3 linked regions of the Kluyveromyces lactis genome follow. The protein of the gene in region 1 binds, or shares a complex with, the protein of each later gene. Links are inferred from orthologs where the notes say so. Each region holds a gene or a part of one and is shown in the gene's direction. Other genes may lie near its edges. The genes, in order: MRPL38, MRPL9 and MRPL39.

What was found.
Region 2: MRPL38 (region 1) and MRPL9 share a complex: the UniProt entries of both Schizosaccharomyces pombe proteins name them as parts of the mitochondrial large ribosomal subunit. The link is inferred for Kluyveromyces lactis from reciprocal best matches to the Schizosaccharomyces pombe genes mrpl38 and mrpl9.
Region 3: MRPL38 (region 1) and MRPL39 share a complex: the UniProt entries of both Schizosaccharomyces pombe proteins name them as parts of the mitochondrial large ribosomal subunit. The link is inferred for Kluyveromyces lactis from reciprocal best matches to the Schizosaccharomyces pombe genes mrpl38 and mrpl39.

Annotation. Positions count from the first base shown.
Region 1 is NC_006037.1:612,073-617,533, forward strand, and holds MRPL38 (mitochondrial 54S ribosomal protein uL14m), read left to right. Parts: upstream 1-2,906; coding exon 2,907-3,323; downstream 3,324-5,461. Other genes in the region: protein kinase NNK1, read left to right, coding at 43-2,445; putative serine/threonine protein kinase KKQ8, read right to left, coding at 3,614-5,461. UniProt on the Schizosaccharomyces pombe protein: Component of the mitochondrial ribosome (mitoribosome), a dedicated translation machinery responsible for the synthesis of mitochondrial genome-encoded proteins, including at least some of the essential transmembrane subunits of the mitochondrial respiratory chain.
Region 2 is NC_006041.1:1,424,654-1,430,676, forward strand, and holds MRPL9 (mitochondrial 54S ribosomal protein uL3m), read left to right. Parts: upstream 1-2,886; coding exon 2,887-3,708; downstream 3,709-6,023. Other genes in the region: KLLA0_E15973g (SKG-like transmembrane protein), read left to right, coding at 1-556; snoRNA-binding rRNA-processing protein IMP3, read right to left, coding at 820-1,371; MRPL6 (mitochondrial 54S ribosomal protein uL6m), read left to right, coding at 1,900-2,544; exportin CRM1, read right to left, coding at 4,078-6,023. UniProt on the Schizosaccharomyces pombe protein: Component of the mitochondrial ribosome (mitoribosome), a dedicated translation machinery responsible for the synthesis of mitochondrial genome-encoded proteins, including at least some of the essential transmembrane subunits of the mitochondrial respiratory chain.
Region 3 is NC_006038.1:65,996-71,625, forward strand, and holds MRPL39 (mitochondrial 54S ribosomal protein bL33m), read left to right. Parts: upstream 1-1,727; coding exon 1,728-1,943; downstream 1,944-5,630. Other genes in the region: TIF35 (translation initiation factor eIF3 core subunit g), read right to left, coding at 1-797; transcription elongation factor SPT5, read right to left, coding at 2,247-5,357. UniProt on the Schizosaccharomyces pombe protein: Component of the mitochondrial ribosome (mitoribosome), a dedicated translation machinery responsible for the synthesis of mitochondrial genome-encoded proteins, including at least some of the essential transmembrane subunits of the mitochondrial respiratory chain.

The DNA of each region.
Region 1 (5,461 bases):
TGACTCGATCCACACTCGCACTCATTTTGTTTTCACCAGGAGATGTCTTCGAGCTATAATGTTGGCTCAGGAATGAAACGGTCTAATACCCCAACGTTGTATGAACGAGATTTCCCTAGTGAGGTGGTTTCGGTTGGATCATTACAGTCTTTGACTCAAAGAGAGGATAATGAAAGAGACTCTTTCAAACTACGACATAAGAATGACTCTTATAATCATGCGGTAAATTTTAACATCGGCTCTTCTAGAACTAGTGAATCTTATCAAGAATCCAGTGATTATGAAGAGCAGCTTTCCTTTAAGCCAAGAAGGATGCGTAAAGGTGATACGAATTCTACGCTAACCAATACAAATCTCAGTAACAACGACAACGATAACAGTACTAATAATAGTAATAGTCGTTTGACTAGGGTTTACTCAGAAACAGAGAAAGCGAATTTTCACGATGTGACTGGTGTTCGTATGTATGATGATATGAAGTATAGACCAATGCATTTCCAAAATAACAGCAATGACAGCGATGATAGAGTTTCGATTGCACAAGATCCGATCCCTATTGATATTGAACCAAAACCAGACGTTGGAGGGTACCGTCAGGCAAGACATCAGCATGTAATAAGGCGTAGATTCTCGTCTGGAGAATCCCCCTTGAGATCTCCTTACTTCAACGAACGTTATAACCAGGGCCTGCCCTTGTTCAATGATATGCAAGATGAGTACATCCCAGATTTCGATTTTGCTGAGGCCGTTTCGCAGTGGCAAAGCTCAGATGATACCAATATGCTTTCACGTTTCAATACATGGGAACCAGACTATCTTGGTAAGCCACAGAAGGAATCAGTATTGAAACTAGACGATTTGCATTCCCAAGTGGCTCCTATCCCTTTACCAAATGTTAAAAATGAGCAACAGCCTCAAATTCCTATAGCAAGACCGAGCTCATCATCGTTATTTTCTGCATCGTCTCTGAGAACTCCACCTGCCCAAATTGAAATATCAGAACATGACCTAGATAGAATTATGAGATCTATTCCATCGGATTTCATCAATATGCCATTTTCCCAACGTAAGAAGATCATACAGGATTTAAGTCCCAACCATGACTATAAGACTATTATGAACATTTTGAAACGTGAGAAATTAAGCCACAGTGGCTCAACACATAACGTGAGATCCAGACATGGATCAGTTGCATCGAAATACTTGAACTCTTTTACCCCCGGTTCTAGTTCTTTCAAGAGGGACGATAAAGGGTCTTTCATTTTGGGTCATAGACTTGGCAAAATAATAGGGTTCGGCGCTTGGGGTATGATCAGGGAATGTTTCCCTTCTACAGATGAATCTCAAAACCAGAATAATACTTGTTGCAAGGCGATGAAGATTATCAAGTTCAAGGACAATCGAAGTGTAAAGAGGCAAGTACTACGTGAAATCTCAATATGGTCGAAACTTTCCCACAATAATATTCTTCCTTTAACAAAATGGAAATTAGACGATGATCTGGTGGCATATTGTTTAACAGATAAGATCGATCATGGAACCTTATACGATTTAGTTGTTTCTTGGGGCGAATGTGGTAATTCAAAGATTAGTTTAAGAGAAAGGTGTCAAGCTACATCCGCCTTAGCGTTACAATTAATTGATGCTGTACAATATATGCATTCTAAATTCATTGCACATGGAGATATAAAGTTGGAAAATTGCCTTCTAGAAAAAAAGTCTGAGAACTACAAAGATTGGAAGCTTGTATTATGCGATTTTGGCATGAGTCACTTTTATGGCCATTTCAAAGATCAGATGGAAAATGAATCAATTCAACTGAAATCCCTATTTGATGGGTCTACTCTTCACTTGAAACGAAGACCCTCAATTCCAAGATCTTCCTCTTCAACGAATAATTCTTCTTTACGGTTGAAATCAAGGTTAAGACAAATAGTGAACGATAAAAAATTAATTCATGATGATACGACTTTGGGTATTCACTCCGTACCAAAGAGCACTCGTTCTAACCTAACCAGCTCGTTGAACCAAAAAACAGACATTACATTAACACCTAACAAAGATTTGCATGAACATATCAACGATGACATGAGCAGAATTGGCTCTTTACCATACGCTGCTCCGGAGTTACTAGAACCCAACCCTCCTCCCATTGGACCAAGCGCTGATATATGGGCCATTGGTGTTTTAATTTTCACCATGCTTACCGGCAAATTACCTTTTAAACATGAATACGAGCCCAGACTTCGTGCAATAATAACTTCAGGTAAATATGATAAAACGACACTACGCCAAGTTTGTAACTGTGATATGAACTCGAACTTGGGTGTAGATGACCAGGTGGAATTCCAAGGTCTATTCAACGCAGTGAAGGGCTGCTTAACGAAAGACTTAACCCGGAGATGGGAACTTGATATGGTGAAAGTAGCTCTGGGTAAGCATTGAAACTAATCCTAAACTAACAAAATATTTTCTACTATTCTGTCCTTGTCAGTTATAACCCTTAATTTTTAATTCAACAAGCATACCAATAGCATTAATAGTAACGCATACTGTTACATTGACCTTTTTTCTGATGTTTTACCATTCTCAACAGCATAATACTTAATAATTTTACTGAAGTATATAACGATAACTAATGAAAACACCAGCTGTCTTAACAATGACGGCGTTGTAAGCACTTTATTTGTATGTAGTAAGCGTTGATAATGGCGTTGATTAGCCAATAATAAATCAATCACGTGATATACATCAATTATGGGTTAAGAAAAAATTTGATGAAACCAGACATAGAAAGCTTTAATCCTTTCTCTAACGATAGTCCAGGAAGAAAAGCTGTGCTTTCCCGATCAGTAGCAGCCTGCAGCACACGACCTAACTGAAGTTCACACTGTGACTGTTATAACATGATTTATTTGAAGTCTTTTTTGAAAGTCATTGACAACTCAGGTGCTCAAATTGCCGAATGTATCAAAGTACTTGGAAAAGGTTCGCCAAAATCTCCAGGTAGAATAGGTGACAAAATCGTCTGTGTGGTGAAGAAGGCTAAACCATTAACACAAACTATTACTGGGCAATCCAATAACAACAGAGTGAAGAAAGGTGATATTGTACACGCTGTGGTGGTACGTACCAAGCAAAGAAATATGATACGTCCTGATGGATCAACAATTGCGTTCGGTGACAATGCTTGTGTATTAATCAACAAGAATAATGGTGAACCTCTAGGGTCAAGAATTATGGGTAACGATGGTGTTGTCGGCAGAGAACTAAGGGAAAAGGGCTACAACAAGATTTGCTCTCTAGCAAGTAAAGTTTTGTAAATATGTTTCACCACTGGTAAATATCGATTACGACTGCGCAGGGCTTTTAGAATCATGTATATAGATAATAAAAAATAGAAAATATCGTTAGTAAAGTTTATGAAAATGCCATGATAAATATGATGGATACGCGACTACCAACTTATTGCTCATTGACAGTGATATCAATATTTTATAAGTGTTTCAAAGAGATGTATGTTTATCTTAAATATAGATAAAAATGATGCGAAAGAAACTAATCTAAATCTGCCAAAGTAGCAAGGCCTTCAGCTATGAAACAAATTTTGGTGTTACACCGGCCTTGGTGGATATGTAACGCAGCATTTTGTCCTCTTCATCCACGAACTTTTTAGCAATGAATCCACCGTTATCCTTTTATTCGGATCAACTTGGAAGATATGATAAAGTGCAGCAGTTCTGTACCGGTTCATACCTGGAGACACATGTTTCATTTCGTCAAATACATAATATTGTCCATGTTTTTCCATATCCTCGAGGAATGCGTCATATACTGAATCCTTGCCTTTGATAGCAATTTTCCATAAATAATGGCCTAAAACCATAACACAGTAGATAATACCACAGCTCCAGCAATCAACTAGTCTTGGATCGTATTGTTGTTTTGGAATAAACTCCTCAGGCGCAACATAAGGCTCAGATCCTGCTGGTCCGGTTTGGAAATGTGCTTTCTTTTCCCAGGCTGTTTGGAACACAGAACTTGTACCAAAATCACATATTTTTAATACACCTGTAGGGAGAAATAGCAAGTTTTCTGGTTTAATATCACAATGAGCTACACCGTGAGCATGCATGTATTGAATACCATGTAGTAGTTGTTTCATGAAGCAATCTGCTTCTAATGGATGTAAAACTGAATCAGATTTTGAGCTTCTTGTAATCAAGCTGTATAGATCACCTGAAGGGCAAAATTCCATTACTTCATAAAATGCGTTAGGTGTTTGCATTAAATCAATAACGTTTAAAATGTTAGGATGTGTTCTTGCCGAAGATCTTCTGCTTTTGTTACCACCACTCAACGATAATCCTATCACAAATTCTGAGGTTAGTCTTGTGCTAAACTTCTTTGGAGGCTCATCAGGTCTTGGCTTCAGTTCTTTTACCGCATAGAATAACTTGTTATCATGGAAATATGTATTATCTTTCAGATCAGGTTCATCTGGGTCAATAAATTTATAGCATAGTTTTACAACCCCATAGGCACCTTGTCCAATGATACCGATCGACTTCCCGTATTTCTCACATAAATGCTGCTTTCGTGGAGCAGAAGAAGGTTCATTGGAGGAAACTGCATCAGACTTAGAGCCCTTCAAACAAAATCCGTTATCGATCTTTTCGGTTAATTGGTTTATCAGTTTCAATTCGTTAGCACCAATGACGGATTTTTCGTTAACAATCTTTGGTACATTGGCTGATTTATTTGGTCCCTTATAACCATCTTCATCAGATTCGGATTCGTCATCAGATGGGTTCGAATTTCCAGAGGACTGGTTGTCATAATCCGCATCTGAATCGGAATCAACACCATTATTTCCATTATGCTCAAGTTCCTCATCCGCATTATGATTACCGTTTTCCTCGTCTATTATCTGACTGAGTCTCTTGTGGAAACTAAACCGGTTTGCTGGCAATAACGACAATGCTGTCGCCAAATTCTCTCCATCATCGGCAATGGTACGGTGAGTCTTAAAAAAACCAGAAAATGAAAACGAGCTCTTAGGTTTGTTCAAAGATTGCTCTAAATCATGTACTATAGGCACCACTTTCAAGTGGTGAGCATGATGGCCATCAGGATAGACACTAAACTGATCCGACTTGTAAATAGCTCTAGATTCAGACTCGTGGCTCATAAGCAGATCAATACTTGATGTATTAGACCTTTCTCTATTCTCGACTGGATGATTGGGATTTTGACCAGGATTAGACAATGCCCTTGGACGTAGTGAAAACGAGTTCAGTCTCTTCCGTTGCGTTGATCTCGATCTTCTCAGTGACGAAGCTTCTACGGTGTCAGGAGATTTTGAAAGCTGTGTATCAATACTACCGCATACCATCTCATCCAAATCGCCCATTAGTTTTTCTAGTAGTGGATATTTATTATTTGGCTCTTGCTCCTCATT
Region 2 (6,023 bases), on another chromosome or scaffold:
GCTCCCACGACCATCTAATTTACCATTTAGCGGTTCCTCTCATTCGTTAACGTCATTTAAATCAAAAACCACCCTTAAGTCACCAGCAGCAGCAGCTATGACACCACAAAATAACCATAACTACAATCCAATCGACCATCCAGAACTTTATTTCCACCAAACAAACGGATCAGATTTGGGATTATCCTCAGATCAAGCCTCCAGCAATACAACACCATCACAAATTAACTCTGCAGGAAGCAAGGTATTACCTCATCATTTGAGACAATCCGTGGTGATGACAAATCCAAACGAGTTGTCTCAAAATAACCTTTTCAAGCCAGCTGGATCATTCTCTCGTGCTGTAGCGGATTCAAGATCCAACAGTTTGATGTCAAATACTAACACTTATCAACAACAGTTACAAGACACTTATATTAAATCGAGAGTAAGCGGTATTCTTGACGACACCGACGTTATGCATCCACCAAGCATGGGGACTATTCTACCGCACTCCGGATCGCAAGAAGATCTAAGAAAGCAGTTGGGCTCATCACACAATTACAATGTCATGTAAAGGGAGCATTATTTCCCTTTGTTTTACCATTCTGTTTTTTTAGACCTCTTTTGGAGTCTTGTTGAATACAATCCTTACGTGTTTATATGCATTATCCGGCATATCCATATACATTGGAACCGAGCTCGAAGCAAAAGATTGTAATTAGAATACTTTTTCTTATGATACATATATACCACTACTACTTACTTTCCTTTCAAATTTGTAAAATAATAGTTTTTGCCCTTTTTCCTACTTCCGAAGGCAAGTATAGCAGGATCAATCTAGGCATCGTCAAAATCATCGACCGCGTTTCTATAACGTAGTACAGTCTTCTTGATCTTGGATGAATCTGTCCATGTAACGTAATCCTCCAAATTCCTTGTTACCAAATATGCTGGATCTGTAATCAAGTTAGGTCCTACTCTAACATGACCTTGTTCAATGAATTGAACGGCATCCTTGAGTGTCTGTGCCATCTTTAATCTATGCATTATTACAGGCAATCTACGACGACAGAAAGCCGAGACTGTAACTTTATTCTCTAGTGCTGATATCTTGGATTTTGTTGAAAGAATGCCCATATGATATAGTTTCTCTAGCAAGAGCTGCTCGTGCTTGATACGGAAGGGATCTGTAGGTTGTAAAAGCGATAGCTTATGTGCCAAACGACGCACATCACCACATATTCTGTTATATTTATGATAATCCTCACGGTTCTGGATATGGTACGTACGCATCACCTGCGTATCTCTGTGGTTCTGGTCCTGTTTCCATTCGTAGAAATCGACCTTCTTGAGAAGCTTCTGCTCATGATGTTTCAATGCTCTTACCATACTGTATTACCTAGTGTATCTGCTTGGAGTATCCTATCCTTATATTGGCTATGAGACCACCAAATGACTTGCTGAACGCTCTTGAAACCACTTCAGCCTGCTATATCATTCAGTAATTGAGATGAGATGACGATGCGTAGGCGATGAGCTTGAAATTTTTCAAAAAGAAAGGGCAAAGATCAACAAGTCACGTGATGCACAGGATAATATAAGCACAAGGTATTTACTCCTGTGTTTCGACGAAGAGCAGTCTCCACATCCCATTTCGACCCAGGAGTGGCCTAGATGGTCACCAATCGAGAGTAACAGCCTAAGTATATCTTATTTAACAATCGTCAAAGCAATTAAAGTTACCCTCCCATACTATCTCACTATTAAAATTTTGATTCCAAGTGAAAAATTGGTTGAAAGACGCATAGAGATGAGTGCTGGAAGAACAGATTGATATAGACGCATTTGATCTAATATACCCAGTCATATAGCGGCTGCAAAGTGGGCTAGACTATTTCCAGGATATACACAATTACCATGACATTTGTTTCCAGAAGACTCTTTTCTGTGTCGGCTCTTCTGCGCTCACATATTGGTTCTTCTCCGGTGTATTTGACACCGGAGACCAAGTTGGTGGTGGAATCAATGAAACTGCCAAAGATCATCAGAAAGGGTAACAAATCTCTTAAGTTATCTCAGAACGTAACTGTATCGGGTCCTTTGGGGAAGATTGATATGGAAATCCCAGATTTCGTGGAGATAAAGCAGGATGGATCTTCGGGAAAAATCGAAGTTGCAGTGAAGGATTCTACCGACAAGACGCAAAGATCCATGTGGGGGACGGTAAGATCTCATATAAATAATCATATCACAGGCGTGAATGAGAGCCATATGGCTGTTCTGAAGTTCGTTGGTACCGGTTACAGAGCTCAATTGGAGGAAAATAACACCTTTGTCAACGTCAAAGTCGGTGCGTCGGTAAGACAAGGCCTACCTATCCCAGAGGGAATCATAGTTAAGTCTCCGGTACCCACGTCGTTGATCGTGGAAGGTGTCAACAAGCAACAAGTGCTACTCTTCGCTGCCAACTTGAGAAAATTCCATCCTCCAGAACCATATAAGGGTAAAGGTATCTACGTTAACAATGAAACTATCAAGATCAAGGATAAGAAGATCAAATGATGACGATAGAATGATGATTATAATTATTATAATATTAAATAACATGTAAATACAGAAGCATAAACATACACTTCCAATAACCGTCAAGGGCACACTTAATTTGTGTTAAATCAGTGAGAGAACTACGTGCCGTTTTAATCACGTGATCTATAGGTAACTTTATCGATTCAAAAAATTTTCAATATCGAAACAGCTTTAACAATTATACAGAGATGGAAACAGGTTTCAATAGAGTCTTTAAACTACATTTTAAATCCTTTACAGTTTCTCCAGCATTGCCAAGAGGTTATCTGGATTGACACATTTGTTATCAATCGACCAGTCTTTGAAAATTGGGGAATAATGGCATTTATTGGCAGTCCTTCGTCGAAGATTTGGACAAGACTTTTCTCACAAAGTGGAGTATCGAACGGTGCCAAGTTAGTCGCACCATCCGTGGCAAGCAGCATTCATCTAGATCCTGTAGATATTAAACATTCTCCAGAAAATGCGCTAAAGAGAAGAAGATTACCTCTACGTTGTGGTGCTTTGAGTAAAAAAGTAGGGATGATGCCGTATTTCGAGAAAGAGACTGGTAAACGTATAGCAGCTACTGTACTTCAGTTGGACAATAACGAAGTTATACTACACAGAACTCCAGCTGAAAACAATTACTGGGCTTGCCAAATTGGTTATGGTAACAAGTCGCCGGAGAATGTTACCAGACAAATGTTGGGACATTTCGCTGCACATGTTGTGAATCCAAAGGAAAAAGTTACCGAGTTTAGAGTCAAGGACGAATCTGGACTACTACCAGTGGGTTCTTTAATCAAACCTTCGTGGTTCAAGCCTGGCCAATACGTTGATTTAAGATCAATCAGCAAAGGTAAGGGTTTCCAAGGTGTAATGAAACGTTATGGATTCAAAGGTTTGAAGGCATCCCACGGTGTTTCCGTATCTCACAGATCTGGTGGTTCTTACGGTCAAAATCAAACACCTGGTCGTGTGTTGCCTGGGAAAAAGATGCCTGGTCATATGGGTGTCGACACTGTAACAATTCAAAACGTGCAAGTGCTGGACGTCAACGACGAAACAGGTACTGTCTTGGTGAAGGGCTCTGTCGCAGGTCCAAATGGTGCATTCGTTAAGATCCAAGATGCTATCAAAAAGCCAACCCCAGTATAAAAAACTGTGATTAAGAAATTGAATCTTTTCAGTCGTTTAGACACCGTCCCGAAATCATTTGGAAAGCATGCCTTTCTACGGTTATTATTAACAATCTATACCTGTATATACACCAATTATAAAATAGTAACTGCTGCAACGTTGAGTGTCCTTTTCAACCAGATATTTAATGGCTTTCATACGTTGATACTGGATCCTGGGTATATGTCGGAGAGAATTGATTACAATTTTTTTCTCTATGTGGGAAGATATACGGCCTGCTATGTATATATTTGCCTTGCTTGACAAGTGTTAGTTTCAGCTTTCATTGGATCCGCAGAAACTTTTTCGTTTCTTGACCATGCTGTACATTTCTGTAAGGTGTTATCTTTACTCATCATCATCCAATTCCGATGGTTTCAATAACCCACCGATCTTGGAAGCTCTTTCTCTTTCAAGTTTATGTTGTTCCGCGAGAGCTTGTTCTTTGTCCTCTGCGAACAAATAATCGGTTGGATCTCCACCGAACTCCTTGATCTGGACCAAGAAATCTCTAATAGTACCAGTGAAATGCTTTGGATCATGATATTGTTTGAGTAGCGCTTGAATGAAGTTCATAACCTGTTCACCACTCAAATGAGGGAATGCATTGCTTAACATGGTTGCTAGATAGTTAGCCAAGTAAGCTTGATTAGAAGTGACTGCAGGAGCTTCATCTTCCTTGTATAATGGTACAGCTATTCTATTTTCTTCTACTCTGGCAATCAAATTCATTAAAAGATGAGCTTGCTTGCTGAATCCAGATTTGTGATCTGAATCAGTGAGGACATAGAAGGTTTCGCTAAGGAATGTGAAGTAATAGTTCTTGTAGAAATCGTTAGAGAATTCAGACGGACTAGCGGAATCAACGTTTTGAATAAGGTCTAAAGCAATTTGTAACCCATTTACCTCAACATCTCTGTTGTTGTGTTTGAACGCCCAACATATGGCATCAACGAAAAGTTTGAAAGCCGGTGGTGGTAGTTGAGATATCGCTACGAAACACTTGGAGTTGATGGCCCTCAATAATTTATAAAACTCCACACGATGTTCCGGATATTCCGTGAAATCTTTATTGATCATGTCTAATGTAGCTTCAAAGACACTCTGTAAAATCAAAATGACACCGCTGATCATCATAGGCCCAACTTTGTTGACAAGTGTGGTCATACAACTTAAAATCTCAGCGTCACGGGCATCTGGTACGGTAATGTAGTAATCCCGTAACACAGAGTCAAACAGTGCTGATGCCAAGTCATTTACGATGTAGTCTAAATCCTTTGCACTGGAAATGTATAATTCCATTAATTTTAGAATTTCTTTCTTGATTGTTCTTAAACCTCTTACCTTTGGAGTCTTAGTAGCAATAATCCCATCGCTGGCTACTTGTGTTGAAATACATCTAGACACAGCTGAGCACAATGACATCATTGGTGTGAAGTTACGACTCAACTGCGGAGCAAAGTCATTACCCATAGCGGAACAAACGGCAACGTTTGTCTTTAGAATATTGGTAACGATTTTCACAGTTTCAGGGTCCGACAAAATATCCAGATGAGTAGATGATTGCTGAATTATAGCGTCCCATGCCATGTTAGGGAGTTGCATCAAATCTGCTAGTAATCTTTGTTTTTCTCCTGGGTTTCTTTCATCAGAAATAATTAAACCGCAAGCCTTGTAAAATGTGTGTACTTGCTGAGGTTGAAGATCGGAGGTGTGGTCTTGAATGTTTCTAATTATTGCCTGGATGAAAGGTTCACTTTCGTTTGGCTGTTGAACGACAAAGTGACGTTTACATCTCTGTACAATCTTGATGAAGGTGTCACAGGCCATATCTTGAACACCCTCATGGGTTTCATGCATAAATTCAAATAGTTTTAGAATGACTGTCTTCAAGAACTTCCAATGAGCTTTTAAGAAACGTGGGTACTGACCGACAACGTACATAATGTTCGATGCAACAACAGCCTTGTTGTCCTTACCGCGCTTTTTATCAGTCAAGGCTAAAAGATCTTTAATGATTGTAACGACAAATTTTTTCTCAGTTTCCTCGTCCATAGTACCAGAAATAGAACCAATAGCCCAACACAATGTGTTGATGTTGTGCCATGACCATTCAGAGCCATCAAGTTGCTTTGCCAATTTATTCAACATGATGTCTTCAGTATCAAGAACATCTAAATGCGTCAAGTAAACAAGTACTTCCCTTTCGGACTTATATAACTGAATTGTGTCCGACTCCTTAACAAACTCTCTGACGATTTCACCTTCATCGTTTTCCACAATAAGAACTTCCT
Region 3 (5,630 bases), on another chromosome or scaffold:
TTTGGTTTTGGCTTAGACCATTCTGCGTGTAACATGAAATTCATGAAACCTCTGCCTTCCAATAATTTCAAAGCTTGAGCAGCAATTTCTTCAGTTTGGAAAGTAACGTAAGCAACACCACGGGATCTACCAGTTTCTGGGTTCTTGACGACGAATACTCTAGGAATCTCACCGAATGGGAAGAGTAATTCTCTTTTAAGCACTTCTTCATCTGCAAGTTCGTTAACCTGGGTCAATCTAATAGTCTTTGCATCATCACGTTCTCTTTGGTCTTGGTAAGCATTAGAAGATGGATCACGAGCACCAGCACGTAGGGATGGTGGCACGTATCTGCCAGAGCCAGAGCCTCCTTGAGCGCTCATATCTCCACCACCGATAGCCGGGTCTAAACCAGCAGATGTAGTAGGTTTCTTTCCCAAAGTGTCTTTGTACGGACAATGCATGGTGAAATGCGCACCACCACAAATTCTACAAGTAATTACCTTTTGAGTCGAGTTAGCAGCCTTCTCCTTTGCCTTTTCTTCTTCCATTTCCTTCCAGTTAGGAGACAAGTCTAACTCTAATTCTTCACCTAATTGAGTGGTTGAAATATCTGGTCCTGGGGCAGCTCCCTTATCAGCACCATATTTCTTCCAATTTCTTCTCAAGGCGATGTTCTTGTTAACTTTCTCGGTGACAGTAATTTCCTTAACCTTCTGCGTAACCTTGTACTTCTTACCATCTTGGATTTTGAAACTGATGACGGTTTTGGAACCATCGTCATTCTCGATGATTCTTGGTTCAGGAATAGCTGACATGTTGTGAATCTTTGTATTATCTCCTTAAAAAAATAGGATTGTAGAAAAAATTCCTTTAATTTCTAGACGCGTGTTATACTATCAACAATTAAGAAGCCCAATTCTGATTTGAGGTATGTCAAATATCCTCCTTTCAAGTTATGGGTCTGTAGATAATCTGATCGATATCAATTAATTCTCTTTGAAGAAAAAAACTTCGCACAGATGATAGTCTCAAATTTTTGTTTCAGTTCTTTATTGAAACACGTAAATCGGATACACTTGGCGCAGTATACTCCTTTCTTCTATCAAACAGCTGGATGAAACCCTATGCACCTTCTAGGGTCACCTTACCATTACGTTTATTTTAGCAGGTAACTTAGAACTCATTTGAATTTCCATTTTTTTCTCTTCTCTTTCGCTGATTTTGCCTCTGTCTCTATGCGATGAGCTTTGGAAAATTTTCAAAATTTTCATCAGTAATGTATATCGTGTTGCACGGGTGTAACAGAGATCCGTAAGCTCCAGCACTAATTAGTTACCTTAATTATACCGTACTGTGTACACCAATCAATTCAGTTAATACCTTCTTGTTGATAAAAGCGTAGAGTAACTATATGCGAATACTTAACTTGACTTGTGAATATGTATCTGTTTCACGTGATATGAAGTACGGATCATTTTTATGTATATTGCATATTCATCAAAACGTATGTAGTGATTTGACAAAATTTTGATTATCCATTACTTCTTCTTTAGCAATGTATCCGACCCAATCAATACTGAAAGTAGTGGGAGTTCATCAATTTCTGCATAGGACGGTGTATCATCGGAAAGTATTAAGGGCAGAAAGTAATATTATCCTGCGTACTTCTCTGTCTCAAATTCAAATTCAAGGAATTTCACAGAGCTAAGGATATCATATATAAACTGCAAACGAACAGGAAAACGATGGCCAAGGCTAAGACAAAGACTACAGTTATCAAACTGATATCAACTGCTATGACAGGTGTGAGCCGTCATGTCACGATAAATAGAGCTGCACCATTAGTGACGCAGGTGAGGTACGACCCTGTAGCTAAACGTCATGTTTTGTTCAAAGAGGCCAAGAAAAGAAAGGTTGCAGAGAGGAAACCATTGGACTTCTTACGTACCGCAAGACGTTAATGAATTGTATTTAACAATTTAACCACACCATTTGCATGTATATAGAAAACACTCACACTGCAATAACTACCGTTGAAATAGACGTGATTTAAGAGTTCTATAGTAGTATCGGTTTGTAGTAAAGAAACGAAATTTTTAACTAAATTACATTTACTTAATTCACTTATTTAATTGGTTTCTGAGACTAATTTGGGCAAGACTATATATACAACATCCACATCGCGTGGAGTAATTTGGAGATAATAAGATGAACAATTGATAGGTTTGTAAATTATCGTGAGGCAATAACTTGTATGATTATTTCTAATTATTTCCACCCCACGTACTTCCACCACCTCTAGCATCCTGATTACCCCAAGCAGATCTATTGCCGCTATTGTTGTGTTGGGATGCATTGCCCCATGCGGATCTCTCTCCTGAGTTATGCTGCGATTGATTGTTACCCCAAGTGGAACTTCCACCGGTGTTTTTAGATCGTTGTGATTTATTACCACTGCCACCCCAGGCAGAGACACCTCCCTGGTTACCACCCCAGGTAGAAGTACCTCCATAGCTTGATTTATTGCCACCGCCCCAGGCAGAAGCTGCTCCTGATTCTCCGCTTGCTGCCCAAGAAGAGGCGCCTCCATAACTAGATTTATTACCCCAAGTGGACGCACCACCCCAAGTTGATGTAGCACCTTGCCCACCCCAGGTGGAAGTGTTTCCAGCAGCTCCACCCCAGGCAGAAGCACCACCAGGGCCTTGTCCGCCCCATGTCGAAGCACCACCCCAGGATGAAGTTCCTCCGTTCTGGCCAACCGCAGGAGTTTTACCGCCATCAAATGCATTCCAACCAGGAGTCATTCCACCAGGAAGTTGTTGCGGAGTGTTCGTTGCCACCGCACCACCGGCAGCCATGTGTCTTGGTGCACTGACATAGCTTGGGCCCAATCTGGTATGTGGAGTTCTACCACGTCTACTAACAAGTTCATCGTATGTTATACCTTCACCACCTTCATGACTGAAGTAAGTAAGTTTTCTTTTGTCTATTGTAATATGCTTATTTTTGGAGTGCAATTCAATAGTAGCCTTATCTCCATTGACGTCTTTGACAATACCCAACTGCCCCTTGTATCCCGCAGAACGTATCCTAACAGTTTTGTTCAAAGCGACGTCACGGCCAACTAACCGCGTCTGCTGAGTAGTTTGTGGTGGTCCCATCTTAGACGCAATATTTGGATTTATTTTAGATAAATCCAATGCTGACGACATCAAGTTTTCTTTTGAGGCGACAGCCTCGACATTCATTGGATTAACAACGAAAACACCGGCATTTTCCGTTATTGTTTTCGATCTAATGAAAATATGTTGGTTTTGAACGTAGAGTACTTGTCCCTCTCTACGGGAACCGATCTTTTCTCTTACTACATCGCCAATTTTTATTTCTCTACCATTACCATCGACAGCAGCTACTTTCGCTCTTGCTACATTGATCTTGGCAAGAATTGAGCCTTTAGTAACAGTAGCCACTTTACCGGAGTCGTCAATAATCTTGAAAATATCATGTCCAGCCTGGATCACACATGCCACGTTTTTGGCACTTAACTCAACAATGTCATGTAGAGCGTACTCGCTTGATGTCGGAGTAGAATCCATAGATTTACTCAAGTTATTCGCAGAGATTGTCAAATTTTCTCTAGTTTGGTCAGAAACAAATGTGACTTGACCGTTCTGCACCAAAAGAACCAAACCAGCGTTACCTTCATGTTCACCAGCTATTACTGTGACATGGTCACCAAGTTCGAAAATTTTTCTTAGAGATGCAATTGGGAACTCTAATGATTTATCTGAAAAGCCCGATAGTTTAACGCTGATGACGTCTTTAGAACTTCTAGTCACCACACCTCTAGATCCACGTTGTTCCCCGGTCAACACTTCAACACGGTCACCTGGTTGAAACATAGCTTTAGAAGCTTGAGCTTTTTTCATAGTTTGAGCAATAGCTGCTAGATCGACATCACCTTCTTTACTGCCGAACCTTGATAATTCTTCCACCGTAGGTTGGATATTCTTTGTATCAAGATACTGAATCTTAAAAGATTTGAAAAGATAACCGTCAACATAATCTTCCTTCCTGTAAGTGAAGTGCCTGTCATCTCTTTTGAATAAGTTGGCTTGGTCTAACCTTAATGCCATAGTAGGGTTAAATAATTGAGGAGGAGGCCTACTAGCAAACGTTGCTCTCTTTGCCTTTCTCTGATTTGTATCTGGGTCGATTTCGTCATTTTTACCGTAGTCTAATCTGGGTACAATCTTTAATAGAGCTTCTAAGTTGTTCTGACTAATTTGATCAATGACTGCCAAATCATTCTTATAAATACCCCTTTTAATTCTAACATAAGAACCAACATCAAGTCTCACTTCATCTGACTTGGTAGGCTTTAATAGTAAAGGTAGTTCTTGCACGGGAATCAAAAGCTTTTGATTAGAATAGACATCTGGAACACCGTTGACAAATTTTTCGATAACAGATTGTTTTGGAGCTTCGATATAGATTCTTCCTGTGTAATTGTCTCTTTGGAAGATGGACAGAATCTTTAATTTTTTAGAGCCCATAGATTTATCCAAGTTAAACTTCTTATTTAGCAACTTTCTCACTAGTTCTTTCTCCTTCCCTGGTCTACAACGAACGGACCAAATAATAGCAGTATCAACACTTGGTAACATAAACCTCTGAGGTACATACCCACCTTGAGTTTGTACACGGTAATCTTTGGAAGAGTCACGACCATAACGTTTCTTGAAGTCTTCAGCGATCTTGTGCATGTCTTCATCCGCAGTTTTTTGAAGATTTTGATCTAATTCTCTATGCAGTCTGTCATCAACTCTACCACCACGATCCTCTTCGTCTTCTTCGTCACCGCGAGTAATGAAACCTTCACGAACTAGTTCTGAATCTTCTTCATCTTCTTCGTCGTCTTCGTCTTCACTGACTTCGGCTTCAATATCCAAGAATCTGTTTCTTTCACGACGTTGCTTCTTCCTATATGATTCGACATCTTCATCTTCGTCATCGTCATCGTCATTGTCATCGTCGTCATTGTCATCTTCATCATCTTCATCGTCTTTGTTTTCTTGACTGTTTTCTTGATTGTTCCCTTGATTTCCCCTAATTGGACTATCTTCAGTAGCCTCTGTCTTTGGTTTAGAATCAGTAGGAGCGTCCTTTAACTGATCGACAGATGCAGAGTTGTTTTCAGAACTCCCATCAACTTCATCGATAGTTCTTTTCTTGCCTCCAACCACATCTGTAGAATCAGACGAAGATGAAGTAGAGTTATGCTCCTTATCTTGACTCTCAACTGACCCAGAAACTGTTTCAGGTACAGAAACAGCCTCTGCTTTATCGGATTCCTCAGCAGTACCGCTCATGACGTCTTACTGACTGTTGCTTTGTATCGTGAATGCGAACTGTAATGCATACTGATCATCATTACAACTTAGCGTGGACTACCATTTTTGTATTGAAAATTGGGAAGTTTAGATTGAAATTTTTCAAGGATCACAAATAGAGGGTAACTCTCGCCTAAGTATTTCAAAAGTACTTAAGTAGCCGATGAATCAGTCTGCATCACTTCATAACGAACGGGCAGCTAGTACCTTATGTAGTCTTTAATATATAACATCAGCTCTGGCTACGTTAAG